Linked DNA regions of Drosophila melanogaster. The protein of the gene in region 1 interacts with the protein of each later gene in a pairwise test. Each region holds a gene or a part of one and is shown in the gene's direction. Other genes may lie near its edges.

Region 1 (6,687 bases):
TTGTTTCAGTTTTTTGCCGCTGTTTCTATGGCAGAATTATGAGAATGGCAATTTCAGGGCTCCTCTTAAATCGGCACTAATTAGGCCTGCCTTTTTCATGCCAAAGCCCAATCAATTATAAATTTTCGACGAGCACAGTTTGCACCAATTATGAAATTTCTCTAATGAGCACGAAGGACAATCTGCCCAAATGGCCGAAGCAGAAACAAACAAGAAACTCGAGCATTGAAATTTCCGAAGTTGCGATTTTCCAGCTGATTTAAACTTTAAGGACTCTTTCTTTTGAAATTACCAAACCATCTTCATACCTTATACTATCTTGTAATCTAGCTATCTAGCATGAAAAATCTTAGCTAGTTGCAAGACTAAAAAAAAAAAGACTAATATTAATGTAGTTGGGATTGTAAATATTTGGCACACGTGTGCGGGTGAGCACTTAAAGATTCCGTGTTCCCAAAATAGCCCTTTCCCGGATATTATTTGTTTTATTTGCAAGAAAGGGCGGAGTAAGAGAAGAAGGCCAATTCAACCCAATACCATAGAGTCCAATCCAATTCAATCCAATCCCTTCATTTTTGGAGCCAAACGAACGCAACTCACCTCGTGGGCCTTTGGATGCTGGTGTTGGCAGTTGTGAGCGGTGGCCGAAACGAGGAGCCAAGAGCAGATGCCGAGGGCTGCCAGGAATTTGGCCATGTTACCGTGGGGGCGGAGCGGGGGCGTTTTGGCCATGGTGTTTTACTTCGGGGTGGAATATCGCCGTGGATATTATAGAGTACTCAGCATTGTAGCGGTGATCCTTTTCATTGTCAGGATTAGTGTGATTTTTGTTTAATTATCACTTGACTTCGAACACCCATATCTGCACTTAAAATTCTTTGTTTATTTTCCTCTTTGGTTTGCTTATGTTTGCTGCTTTTCCGCCGTTTGCTTTGTCAATTAACTCGCGAAAACCGGCTCGATTCGAATCCCTTTCCTCTCACTCGCACACATAAACAACTCGCACACACACGTACATACGCACACACAGAGACACTCAATTATTGGGGCCTTTGGACTACTTTTTGTTTTTGTTTTCGGGTGGGTGTGTCCCAATCTCAGCCCACGCCAAAAAAATGTGCATAAAACTACAGCAAACTACAAACTGCAGTTAGCCGCAAAAGGAGGAACAAACTCGCACTTAAATGTCAAATTCTCATGAACTGTCCGTGCAGCGAGAGCATTCTGTAGGACTCACTGCCATACCCGACACAGTGGGCACTCAATAAGCGCATTCGTCGAGCCTTTTCATTCAGCAAAACCATAAAAACACTCGCGCGAAAAGGGGGCGTTTGGGTACCGGCGGGGGTGGTTGGCACGAACAACAAACTTAGAGAGACGCGAGTCGAATCGTCCGACAACGACGTTAACGTTCGCCAGCCGATTTTGTTTTGAATCGAGTCTCTATACATATGCATAAGTACATGGACACAAGGACAGAGTGGCCATTCAACGAAAACGAAAAACGCGTTCTTATGCTTTTCCGAATCTGGTAACACCTCTTATTAGCGCTAAAAAATTACGTTGCCTATCGATATTTCGAATCGACTTTTTTAAAAATCAAGCGTCAAGACATGGATAATTCAATTCTTACTGCTTATGGTCACACCAAAAAGATAACAGAAATGTTACGAGAGATTAGAGTTCAGTGATGGCTAACGTACAAGTGCATCTAACAGGTTGGCATAAAAAACAATAAAAAATACCCTTTACGCTTATTAGATTTTAATATATACTTTCAAAAAAAAACCGCTCTCTAAATTTTATATAAAAATAAAATTTTATTAAAATACCATGACTAAAAATATGTTACTTTGAACCAACTTTTATTTGCCGCCTTAATCTAGTGATGTACGTTTTCATAGAAGAAACGGACGATATATCGAATCAATCGAAGAACGGATGATATCGTTGTAAACATAGATCATTCCCCACCACTATCACATGCACGATTTGTGTACAACCGCGAGTTTGATTAATAATATAATTTAAATCTGATACCGTCAAGAGAAAGTCCCAAAAATGGAGGAAGTTCTCGAGACGATGCAGCTGGAGAACATGCACTGCGATGTGTGCGAGGGTACCACCTTCCAGGAGCGCGAGGGATTCTACTACTGCGTAGAGTGTGGCACACAGAAGGATCAGATTCGTGCAGTGGACATTACCGCCGAGGATAACTTTGATGACACGGCAGCAGGCCGATATACAGCCAGGACGATCCGACAGAAGAAGGATACGGAGAAGGAGGATGAGGACGATATCACCTCGTGGGAATTCTACAACTACGTGCTGCGCGGCTTCCTCCAGGAGCTGCTCAACATGGGCGCCAAGCCGGAGCTCAAACTGATGACCCTGCAAGTGTGGGCGGCTTACTTGGACAGCATGGAGGTGGCCTTCAGCAAGAGCAACAAGACGGGACTGCCTAAACTGAATGTGCGGGCGCTGCCCATGTGGGTTCTTGCATTCTCCTAAAATTTCTTATTTTTAAATTCCGAATTCTTTCAGAGATGCCCGCATCATCTACAACCATAAGACATTCAAGAAAGGCAAAAAGGGCAAGAAGAGCACTCTAACGGGTGACCCAAATGACGAGCGCGCCAAGTTCAGATTGTGGAACAGAACTAAGGTAGTTTATTAGCCGCTGGTAGTCGGTATAAAGGGCAAGAAGAGCACTCTAACGGGTGACCCAAATGACGAGCGCGCCAAGTTCAGATTGTGGAACAGAACTAAGGTAGTTTATTAGCCGCTGGTAGTCGGTATATAGAATTGGTTAGGAAACAGCAGGGGCAGCAGCAGGAAAAGGGTCCGTTGGTAGTCATTATACATGGGTTTTGCTGTATTTATCTCCTGTACTGGATTAGAATCTGTGGCGAATATGTTGGATGAACAATAAGCGTTAGGATTAGTTTATCTAATTACTTTCAGTGACTTCTGGAGCTCCGGGAACAGGTTGTCCGTAGGCCAATGCCAGGATGGCCACGCCAATTAGAACCAGACGCATGGACATATTTGCAACGACACACTTTACCAAATTGCTGCTGACTTGAACACGTTCGTCTTTTATAGCTCCACAAGCTATATAAATGACATAGTTAGCCTATTCATTAGTGATGTTTACTCAGATGCGACTGTAACACCTTGATCCCATTCCTTTTGCAGCGCAATCTAGACGCCTCCGGCTACCGCTCGCACGGAGGAGCTTCAGAGTCCGAAGGGGAGCAGAGTCTCCACCTGCAATGGTCAATGCGTGCACGCAAGTCCTTGAAGCGCCATATGCCGCTGAAGCACCTGGACAAGCATAGCCGCGACAGCAAGGGTAGTATGTCGTGCCACAGCTTGAGACCGAGGGTCAAGCAGCTCCACAATTTTGATCGTAACATCTACTGCCTGAATATTATCAAGTTGTATGTGGTGCTGGGCATAGCCCTTAATATGGTGGAGGATGATATACAGCTATCGGACTTGCTGCGCTTCATTGATGAGGAGCACTTGACCAAGCGGTGCATGCTTAACTATCTGCCCGGAAATGTGGCGGCCAAGGGCAAGGCACTGCTCAAAGATATGGAGCTCAGCAAAATGAAAGACAAGGTTACCAACAAGGTGACTATAATCCATCATTTTCTAACGATAGAAAAATAGAAATATCTATTAATAAAAAGGAACACAACTAATAATTATCTTTATATTCTCCACAGCTTCTGCGTGTAAACATCGCGTGTATGTCACGATTCATAAACTTGTCTGAATATCAAAAACCGAACCTGCACTCCCTAGCGGAGCGATATATTCTGGAGTTGGCACTGCCACCTCGGCTACTGAAGTACGTGAATAGCCTGCTTGACCTGCATCCGCCCACTTTTTTTAACGCCATGACCGTACATCCGTATCCGCGCTATGAGGCCAGGACTATGGCCTACATCCTCTACGCCATGAAGTTGCTCTTCGGCTTGGACGATCTCAAGGAGCGGAATATATCTGAATCGGCCGCTAAAATCAATGAAAAACTGCTGGAAGTCGGCGGAGATGAGGCTCCCTTGCTTTTTGTTTTTACCGAGTGGATGGAGTTTGTGGAGATGAGGAAAGTGATTGTCTCACATTACAACCAAAGTTTTGCCCGTCGCTTCGGGGTATCCACCCGGACTGGTTGTCAGGTGGACGACATACTGGCAAAGGAGTGGAAAGAGAAGGAGCAAGGCGAAACCTTTGGCTGGATGCAGGGATCTGCGGCAATGAAGCGTCAGCATGAAAACCTGACACACATTATTGAAACCATGCTGAAGGACCATTTTGGCGAGTCCAGCAAAGAAAGTATGGAGAAGGAACACATTGAATTCCAGCCCAGCTTGACTCCGGCTCACTCCTACTTCAACAGAATCCTACTCCAAGTATCGCGGTCTGATGGTGCAAAAATGAAAATCACAATTCCTGACCACATGAAAGTGGATCACTCGGCCCGCAACCTGGATCCCTTTGTGCTGGAAACGACCGAGCTGTCGCAGTATTTGTCCCAACATGGCCTTAAACTACGAGTAGAGGAGCTTGCCTGCCAGGAGGACATCCAAAACGTGGGCATATTCCGCCCACTAACAATAATCCGAGGTGACGGTCGAGAATACCGCGCCAACACTGAAATTAAAACCGAGACGTGGATAAGCGAGCTAAAGCGTAAGGAGAAACGGCCGGACTTTCGGTTCACACAGCCCACTGGAACCTATGGAGCCCGATATTTGAAACGTATAACAATGCGCGACGCAAGGCGTGTGCAACTTGAGATAAATAATCCGTTTTGGGATGTTACCGAAACGCCCAGCTTTCTTCTCAAACTCAACGATAACGAGATACCACTTGACAGCCTTAGCTCACTGCAAACCTTCGAGGAAGGGACCATGGATCCATTAAACATCCCTCTAGATCTGCCCCGTCGCAATCTGGAAAAAATTTTGAATCCGGAAGGTTCTGATAGAGCATCAGACCAAGTAGCGAGCGATATCAATGATGAGCCGCCAAGCCCTGAGACGCTGTTATTGCAAGTGTCAAATTTTGATTGCTGGCTTCTACACGGCTATATGAAAAGAATTCGGAGGCATGACAAGCATGAACTGCGTCAGTTGTTCCCCTGTTCCTTCCGTTGGCTCTTGGAGACGTGTGCCAGCACAATAGGCATAGTCTGGGAGGAGCTCTACGAGGAACTGCTCATTGTGGAAGTGATGTACCATCACAGCATCAGGGACTGGAGCAATCATAGGAACTATCTGTGTATTCAACACAATACTCAAGAGAAGGACATCCGAACCCTCGCCAGGACGTACAAGGAGTTATGGTAGTATATTAGAAGTATTAAAAGTTTTGAATTAACAAACAACGATGCCATCTGTATAAAATATAATATTCTTCTACGTAGTGCTCTACCTCAAATGATAGATTTTCTTTTTGTGTATATAACCTGTAGAAATCTTTCAACAGTGATTATGATGCAAATAAATCTGTGTGTTAAGCAGTTACCAAAGTACAAACATGACACACCCACTACGTCAATAGCTTAAGTTCAGGAATTTATGATTTACACACTTATCGAAAGTGATCAATTCATTTAACAAAAATATTCGTTGTCTACCCATACGTTTTCCTATGCCCAAATGTTAAATTTGCATCCATTTTAGATTGAAACGATCTATGTATTAAGGGGCAGTGTTATCTCCTTGGCCGCGACTGTGTGAGCAAAGGCACATTAACATCAATATCAATAGGCAAATTAGCGTTTATCAGAACAACAACAATCACATTAGCAGCAACAATGCGTGTCGCGGTTTTGTTTACAAAAATCTTCTTCAAAAGAGAGCGCCAGGCCCCACGGTCATCACCAACTGGAGAGAGCAAAAAAAGAGCGTGAGAGTACTTGGGGAAACAGAGGAGCTCACTTGGCTTGTTTTTGAACAGTTCTACTTATAAAGTAATTATACCAAATAAACAACAAAATAAAATAAATAAACCAAAAAAAATCACTTACATATATAACAATTTAAAGGGTGTTCAATTGTGATAGTTTATATTTGCTTTAAGTTTAACGTTGTCAACGCTCTCATAGGAGCGATTTCCTTTTAATGTCTTACTAGCTTTGTTTCATATAAAGCAGTTATCTCTGATGATCCTACTTCAAAAATCCGGCGAAAGAGGTGATAAGAATTATCTTATGCTTTTTTTCGATATTCTTGTGATCTTACCTATATTTATAGCTATATCTAGCTAGAAAAGAGGCCACCTCCGCTTGGGAGCAGTGAGAGTGGGTAAAGAAATCATAGGCGCGCATTCGCACGGCGCGTTTCAGTGCTAATTTTAACGTCGTCGCTGACTGTTTCGCCTTATTGCCCTGCTGCGGTTTGAGTTTCCCTATTTTCCACTTTTCCACTGGCCGCGAGCACTGAGTTCGAATTCAATTTAAATTAGTTCCCATTGTGCCTTTGTACGCCTCTTTGCCCGTCCAGCGCAGTGTGATAACCAGAAACCAAAGTGCCTGTGCCCAAGAAGTGCAGTGGAATCGGATGTGTGGACAGGAATTTTAACCGTTGCAGCGCGCGACTTGAAGAGAACCGATCTGAAAGTGATGAAAGTGTGGAGGCCACAGAAATAGGAACCAAAAATAAATTCAAA
Region 2 (6,196 bases), on another chromosome or scaffold:
TCTTGTTATGTTGAGGGTTTGGCAAGATGTCTGAGAGTCTTCTTAGGACTCTTCCCTTCACATTCTTAATTGTTCTTTTTAGTTTTATGCACATTTTAATTAGAAGAACGTGTCAGATGAATCCGTCTAAAATTATACACAAGCGTCATTTTAATTATGAGTAAGGGGTAAAACAAAACAAAACTCTTGCCACATCGCCTGTCAAGAAATGAAGATCAAGACCAGTTGTCAAGAGCTGAAAGAGAAAGATCCGCAACACTTACTAGGTGAATGATCTGCACTGTTTTGAAGACGATGTTTCCTAACATCAGGAACTTTAATTACATATAAAAAGCATACAAAAGAATTAGCATTACTCTCAGTTTTGGTATTAGGTAAAAACTCTGGGTGAGTATGAACACATGTTCAAGGTTAAATACAGCACAATCCTATTCATTTTTCAATTCATACACGATCACAAACTTTTCTTAGCGCACCCCTGTCTGACCCACATTCGTTGACCATTATCACTTCGTTAAAGAGAATAAATCTCTGGACCTTTATTAACCAATTTGTGATAGTGGCATAGGGTATCCCGCGCACCCCCGAACTCAATGAAAATCTTTCGCGCGAAAGTTTCAAATGAAAATCCATTTGCTAGCTGATTTTTGCACTGGCCACGCCAACTTCCTGTTTTTTTCCCCCAGTGCGCGCATTTGAAAAGTGGGAAACACGCAGCAACGATTCCAAACCAAGGACGGTGAAGGGTTTTCCGGGGTAGGAAGGAAGGATGGCGCACACATTTGGCAAAGTGTCGCCAGGCTTGAAAATGAAAATCAACAATGCAATTTGCCATGGCGCCTCGCTCTGCCCCTTAGTTCTAGGTTTCTCTGTTGTTTGTAGCGACTCAAAAGGGAAAAAATTCTGCTAAAAACTTGAAGCGCCAGGCAAAAGTTGGGCCCCAGGAACGCCCTCAGCTTTTGCAGAGATTGCACACAGGCAAATGTGCAGCGAAAGTTGAAAGTAGCAAGGATACAAGAACCAGGCATCAAGGACGCTCTGCCCAAAATAAGTTGCAAGAAATCCATTGTGTTCATTATAATGGAATAATAAACCGGAGTGACTGCGTTCAGATTGGGGTTCTTTCCTTTTCCATTAGCCCCTGAACCATCTCAAATTGATGATATTTTCTTGATGTTCCCACAACCACTTCATGTTTTCACGTTAAAACCCAACAAAGTAATTTGGCAATTCCAATACAAGAAAAATTAAGAAATCTGGCATCAGCCTTGATTAACACCTATCTTAAGACGAAATATAATGTTAGTAAAATTTTCATATTCTCGCAGTCATTAGACATTAATGTGCCAGTCAGTGGGGTTTAAGCCCAAGTATTCGACAAAACTGCTTCTTAGAAGCTTTAGATGGCGTATTTTGGGGAGGGTGCTTCAGATTAATATGCACATACATACATATGTGCATACATACGCCACCTATGTGGCTCACAACAATGCAACAACTTCATTGCCAGAGCAACACGTTGGCACATCCTGTTGCAAAGTCTCATTTCCGCAGGAGTTGTGTTCTACATACCGGATGCCTTTGCAAATGCTAAATGGTTATTGCCGTATGTGCACAATATGTCAGACGTTGCAAATAAATTATATTTGCTTTTATACAACTTGGATACAATTCAAAATTGGGTTATCAGGCTTATCAAGCGCGCACATATCAGCTGTTCCTTGCATTCGGTTGGCAGCCCAGTTATTTAAAGATGAGCTGAACACGAATCGGAACCATACGACAATTCACCGAACTTTAAGGTTATTTTAGTGTGTTCTATTAATCTGAATACAAATTTTTAGTGATGGTTCTTTATTTACCGAAAATTTTTATCCCAATCATCTATATTCTTATTTCATTCAGTTATATGAACAATATAATATATGAACTAGTTCTTTGCGACTGCCTCACCACTGACTGGTTCGCATTCAAAACGGTTCGATTCCAAACAACACGTGCGAAGGAAGGCAATAGGTTTCTTAATATTTTTGGTCGGCATTCTGAAAGAATAATACTTACAACATGCTGGAGGAGATGCAACAAATGAAGACCATTCCAGTGCTGACCAATTCCCGCCCGGAGTTTAAGCAGATACCTAAAAAACTCAGCAGGGTAAATATCAATCTTGTACCTATAGCAAGGTTTCGTGCTAATAGATTTACTTCTATGGCTAGCATTTGGCCAATTTGGGAGGTCCACATGTGGATTCCTTCGACGAGATGCTGACCGTGGGACTGGATAACTCGGCCAAACACATGATCCCGAACCACTGGCTGAGTCCTGCCGGCGAAAAGATTTCAATGAAAGTAGAATCAATATGGATAGCGAAGCCAAAGGTGCCGCAAGATGTGATTGATGTGCGCACCCGAGAGATTTACCCCACGGACTCCAGGCAGCTCCATGTCTCCTACTCGGGAATGTGCTCGGTCCGATTGGGGTGGAGTGTCAATGGAGTGCAAAAGACTCCCATAAACATGGACCTAGGAGAAGTGCCCATCATGTTGCGCTCCAAAGCCTGCAATCTGGGACAGGCTACTCCGGAAGAAATGGTAAAACATGGAGAGCACGACAGCGAGTGGGGGGGCATTTTTGTGATCCGAGGAAATGAGAAGATTGTACGTATGTTGATCATGACCCGGAGGAACCATCCCATATGTGTAAAACGTTCATCCTGGAAGGATCGTGGACAGAATTTTAGCGATTTGGGTATGTTAGTGCAAACGGTCCGTGAGGACGAATCATCCCTGAGCAATGTAGTACATTATTTAAACAATGGAACTGCAAAGTTTATGTTTTCTCACGTCAAGAGACTATCATACGTACCAGTTTGCCTGATCCTCAAGTGCCTAATGGATTATACAGATGAGGAAATATACAACAGATTGGTGCAAGGCTACGAGTCCGACCAGTACTATGTGTCCTGCGTGCAAGCCATGTTGAGGGAAGTTCAAAATGAAAACGTCTATACGCACGCCCAGTGCAAGAGCTTCATTGGCAATCTGTTCCGTGCCCGCTTCCCAGAAGTTCCGGAATGGCAACCGGATGATGATGTCACAGACTTTATTCTTAGGGAGCGAGTAATGATTCACCTGGATACCTATGAGGATAAGTTCCAGTTGATTGTGTTTATGATTCAGAAGCTTTTCCAATGCGCACAGGGCAAGTACAAAGTGGAGAACGTCGACTCAGCTATGATGCAGGAAGTGCTTCTGCCAGGCCATCTCTATCAGAAATACCTAAGTGAGCGAGTCGAATCCTGGGTCTCGCAAGTCCGACGTTGCCTTCAAAAAAAACTGACTTCACCTGATGCCCTAGTTACCAGTGCTGTGATGACGCAGTGCATGCGACAAGCAGGAGGAGTTGGCCGGGCCATAGAGTCGTTTTTAGCAACTGGAAATATTGCGAGTCGCACTGGCCTGGGATTAATGCAAAATAGCGGATTAGTCATTATGGCGGAGAACATTAACAGGATGCGTTACATGTCCCACTTTCGCGCCATCCACCGTGGTTCCTATTTTACAACGATGAGAACCACTGAGGCGCGGCAGCTGCTCCCGGATGCCTGGGGTTTTATTTGTCCAGTGCACACTCCTGATGGCACACCGTGCGGACTGTTAAATCATTTGACTCTAACTTGCGAGATTTCGATGCGTCCCGATCCCAAGTTGGTGAAGGTGGGTACAGCTAATGGTAGACTTTATTAGAAATTTTAACCGATTACTTTTTTTTTCAGGCCATTCCCAAGCATCTTATAGATATGGGCATGATGCCCTTGTCAAACCGAAGATATTTGGGCGAAAAACTTTACGTCGTCTTCCTAGATGGCAAACACTTGGGTCACATTCATCAATCAGAAGCCGAAAAAATAGTTGACGAATTGCGCTACGGGAAGATATTCGGCACCCTTCCCCAGATGATGGAAATCGGCTTTATACCCTTCAAGAAGAACGGTCAGTTTCCAGGGCTTTACATTGCAACGGGTCCTGCCAGGATGATGAGGCCCGTTTGGAACCTAAAGTGGAAAAGGGTGGAGTACATCGGAACACTGGAACAGCTTTATATGGAGATCGCCATCGATGCAAAGGAAATGTATCCTGACTTCACCACTCATTTGGAGTTGGCTAAGACCCACTTCATGAGCAACTTGGCCAACTTGATACCCATGCCGGACTACAATCAATCGCCACGTAACATGTACCAGTGTCAGATGGGAAAACAGACGATGGGAACGCCATGCTTGAATTGGCCTAAGCAAGCGGCCAACAAGTTATACCGCCTTCAGACGCCAGGGACTCCTCTCTTCCGACCAGTACACTACGACAACATCCAGCTGGATGACTTTGCAATGGGCACAAATGCTATTGTAGCTGTCATTTCCTACACGGGCTACGACATGGAAGATGCTATGATCATCAACAAGGCTGCTTATGAACGAGGATTCGCCTATGGAAGTATCTACAAAACAAAGTTTTTGACGTTGGACAAGAAGAGCAGTTACTTCGCAAGGCATCCACACATGCCGGAGTTAATAAAGCATCTTGACACGGATGGTCTTCCACATCCGGGCTCCAAATTGAGCTATGGTTCGCCCCTGTACTGTTACTTTGACGGAGAGGTCGCCACTTATAAAGTTGTGAAAATGGATGAAAAGGAGGATTGCATAGTAGAGAGCATCCGACAGTTGGGAAGCTTCGATTTGTCGCCAAAAAAAATGGTGGCCATCACACTGAGGGTTCCACGACCTGCCACTATTGGAGACAAGTTTGCATCAAGAGCTGGTCAGAAAGGAATTTGCTCACAAAAATATCCTGCAGAGGACTTGCCATTTACGGAATCTGGTTTGATTCCAGACATTGTGTTCAATCCCCACGGCTTCCCCTCCCGAATGACAATCGCCATGATGATAGAAACGATGGCGGGAAAGGGGGCTGCAATCCACGGAAATGTTTACGATGCCACGCCTTTTCGCTTCTCCGAAGAGAATACTGCTATTGACTATTTTGGCAAAATGTTAGAGGCTGGGGGTTACAATTACTACGGAACGGAGAGGCTGTATTCCGGCGTAGATGGCCGCGAGATGACTGCTGACATATTTTTTGGAGTGGTGCATTACCAGCGTCTTCGGCACATGGTGTTTGACAAGTGGCAAGTAAGATCTACGGGAGCGGTGGAAGCTCGGACCCATCAGCCAATTAAGGGCAGAAAACGCGGTGGAGGCGTCAGATTCGGTGAGATGGAACGGGATGCTTTGATCTCTCACGGTGCTGCTTTCCTGCTGCAGGATCGCTTGTTCCACAACTCCGATAAGACGCACACCCTGGTGTGCCACAAGTGCGGCTCCATTCTGGCGCCTCTGCAACGCATTGTTAAGCGAAATGAGACGGGAGGACTCTCTTCTCAGCCAGATACGTGTCGCTTGTGCGGGGATAACAGTTCTGTATCGATGATCGAGATACCATTCTCTTTTAAGTATCTGGTTACCGAATTGAGTTCGGTCAACATTAATGCGAGATTTAAGTTAAATGAAATTTGATTTAAATCTAAAATTATTGTTAGGTCCTATGTTAACCCGTGCGCTAATCGTAATAAAGATAAATACGTAAAATACAACTGTGCTTGCCAAGTGTTTATATCCAGATCGTGGAAACGTTTTAAACACCTTTCAAATGGTTTCAATTTATATTTATTTAAATACATATTGGTTTACGTTTACAGTTAAATTCCTGCACTTGCTATATGTAGTTGTGGCTTGGTTTTCTTGCTCTTGCAGTTGCTTTTGTTTTGTCTGTGAGTGTTAAATGGAATTTGTGTGGAATTTTGTAACATTTAACTATTGCACTTTGGAAATGCCTAAATTTCCAGCTGTCATGCACATTGGTTTTTACGAAAGGATCGAGAGTTTAATGGTAATAAGTATTTGATGTCAGTTTCCATTATCGGTTTTCAGTATCAGTATCTATATAGTGTATATTTTAGTTTACAATTCTTTGTTCTTTATCGGCAGCCGTCTCGCATTTGAAGAGAGTCATTAGCAGATTTATGGCTGGCGGCTACTGCTGCTGCTGCTTCAGATTAGTTAATACTTGGTGCTACAAAGATCGCTTTCTCTTCAGGAAGCGGCACAACATGAAGTAGCCCCTCTCAGTTTATCTAT

What was found.
Region 2: the proteins of TAF1B (region 1) and Polr1B interact in binary tests that used the Drosophila melanogaster proteins (3 or more experiments, as listed by UniProt).

What each region holds. Positions count from the first base shown.
Region 1 is NT_033777.3:10,139,446-10,146,132, reverse strand, and holds TAF1B (TATA box-binding protein-associated factor RNA polymerase I subunit B), read left to right. Parts: upstream 1-1,948; 5' UTR 1,949-2,061; coding exon 2,062-2,489; intron 2,490-2,544; coding exon 2,545-2,665; exon of another isoform or gene 2,666-2,778; coding exon of another isoform or gene 2,779-2,903; intron 2,904-2,958; coding exon of another isoform or gene 2,959-3,046; exon of another isoform or gene 3,047-3,063; intron 3,064-3,198; coding exon 3,199-3,639; intron 3,640-3,734; coding exon 3,735-5,363; 3' UTR 5,364-6,030; downstream 6,031-6,687. Other genes in the region: invadolysin, read right to left, coding at 601-732; CG42759 (uncharacterized protein), read right to left, coding at 2,779-2,903, 2,959-3,046. UniProt on the Drosophila melanogaster protein: Component of RNA polymerase I core factor complex that acts as a GTF2B/TFIIB-like factor and plays a key role in multiple steps during transcription initiation such as pre-initiation complex (PIC) assembly and postpolymerase recruitment events in polymerase I (Pol I) transcription.
Region 2 is NT_033779.5:402,320-408,515, forward strand, and holds Polr1B (RNA polymerase I subunit B), read left to right. Parts: upstream 1-1,965; 5' UTR 1,966-2,064; coding exon 2,065-2,154; intron 2,155-2,216; coding exon 2,217-3,716; intron 3,717-3,775; coding exon 3,776-5,575; 3' UTR 5,576-5,650; downstream 5,651-6,196. UniProt on the Drosophila melanogaster protein: DNA-dependent RNA polymerase catalyzes the transcription of DNA into RNA using the four ribonucleoside triphosphates as substrates. Second largest core component of RNA polymerase I which synthesizes ribosomal RNA precursors.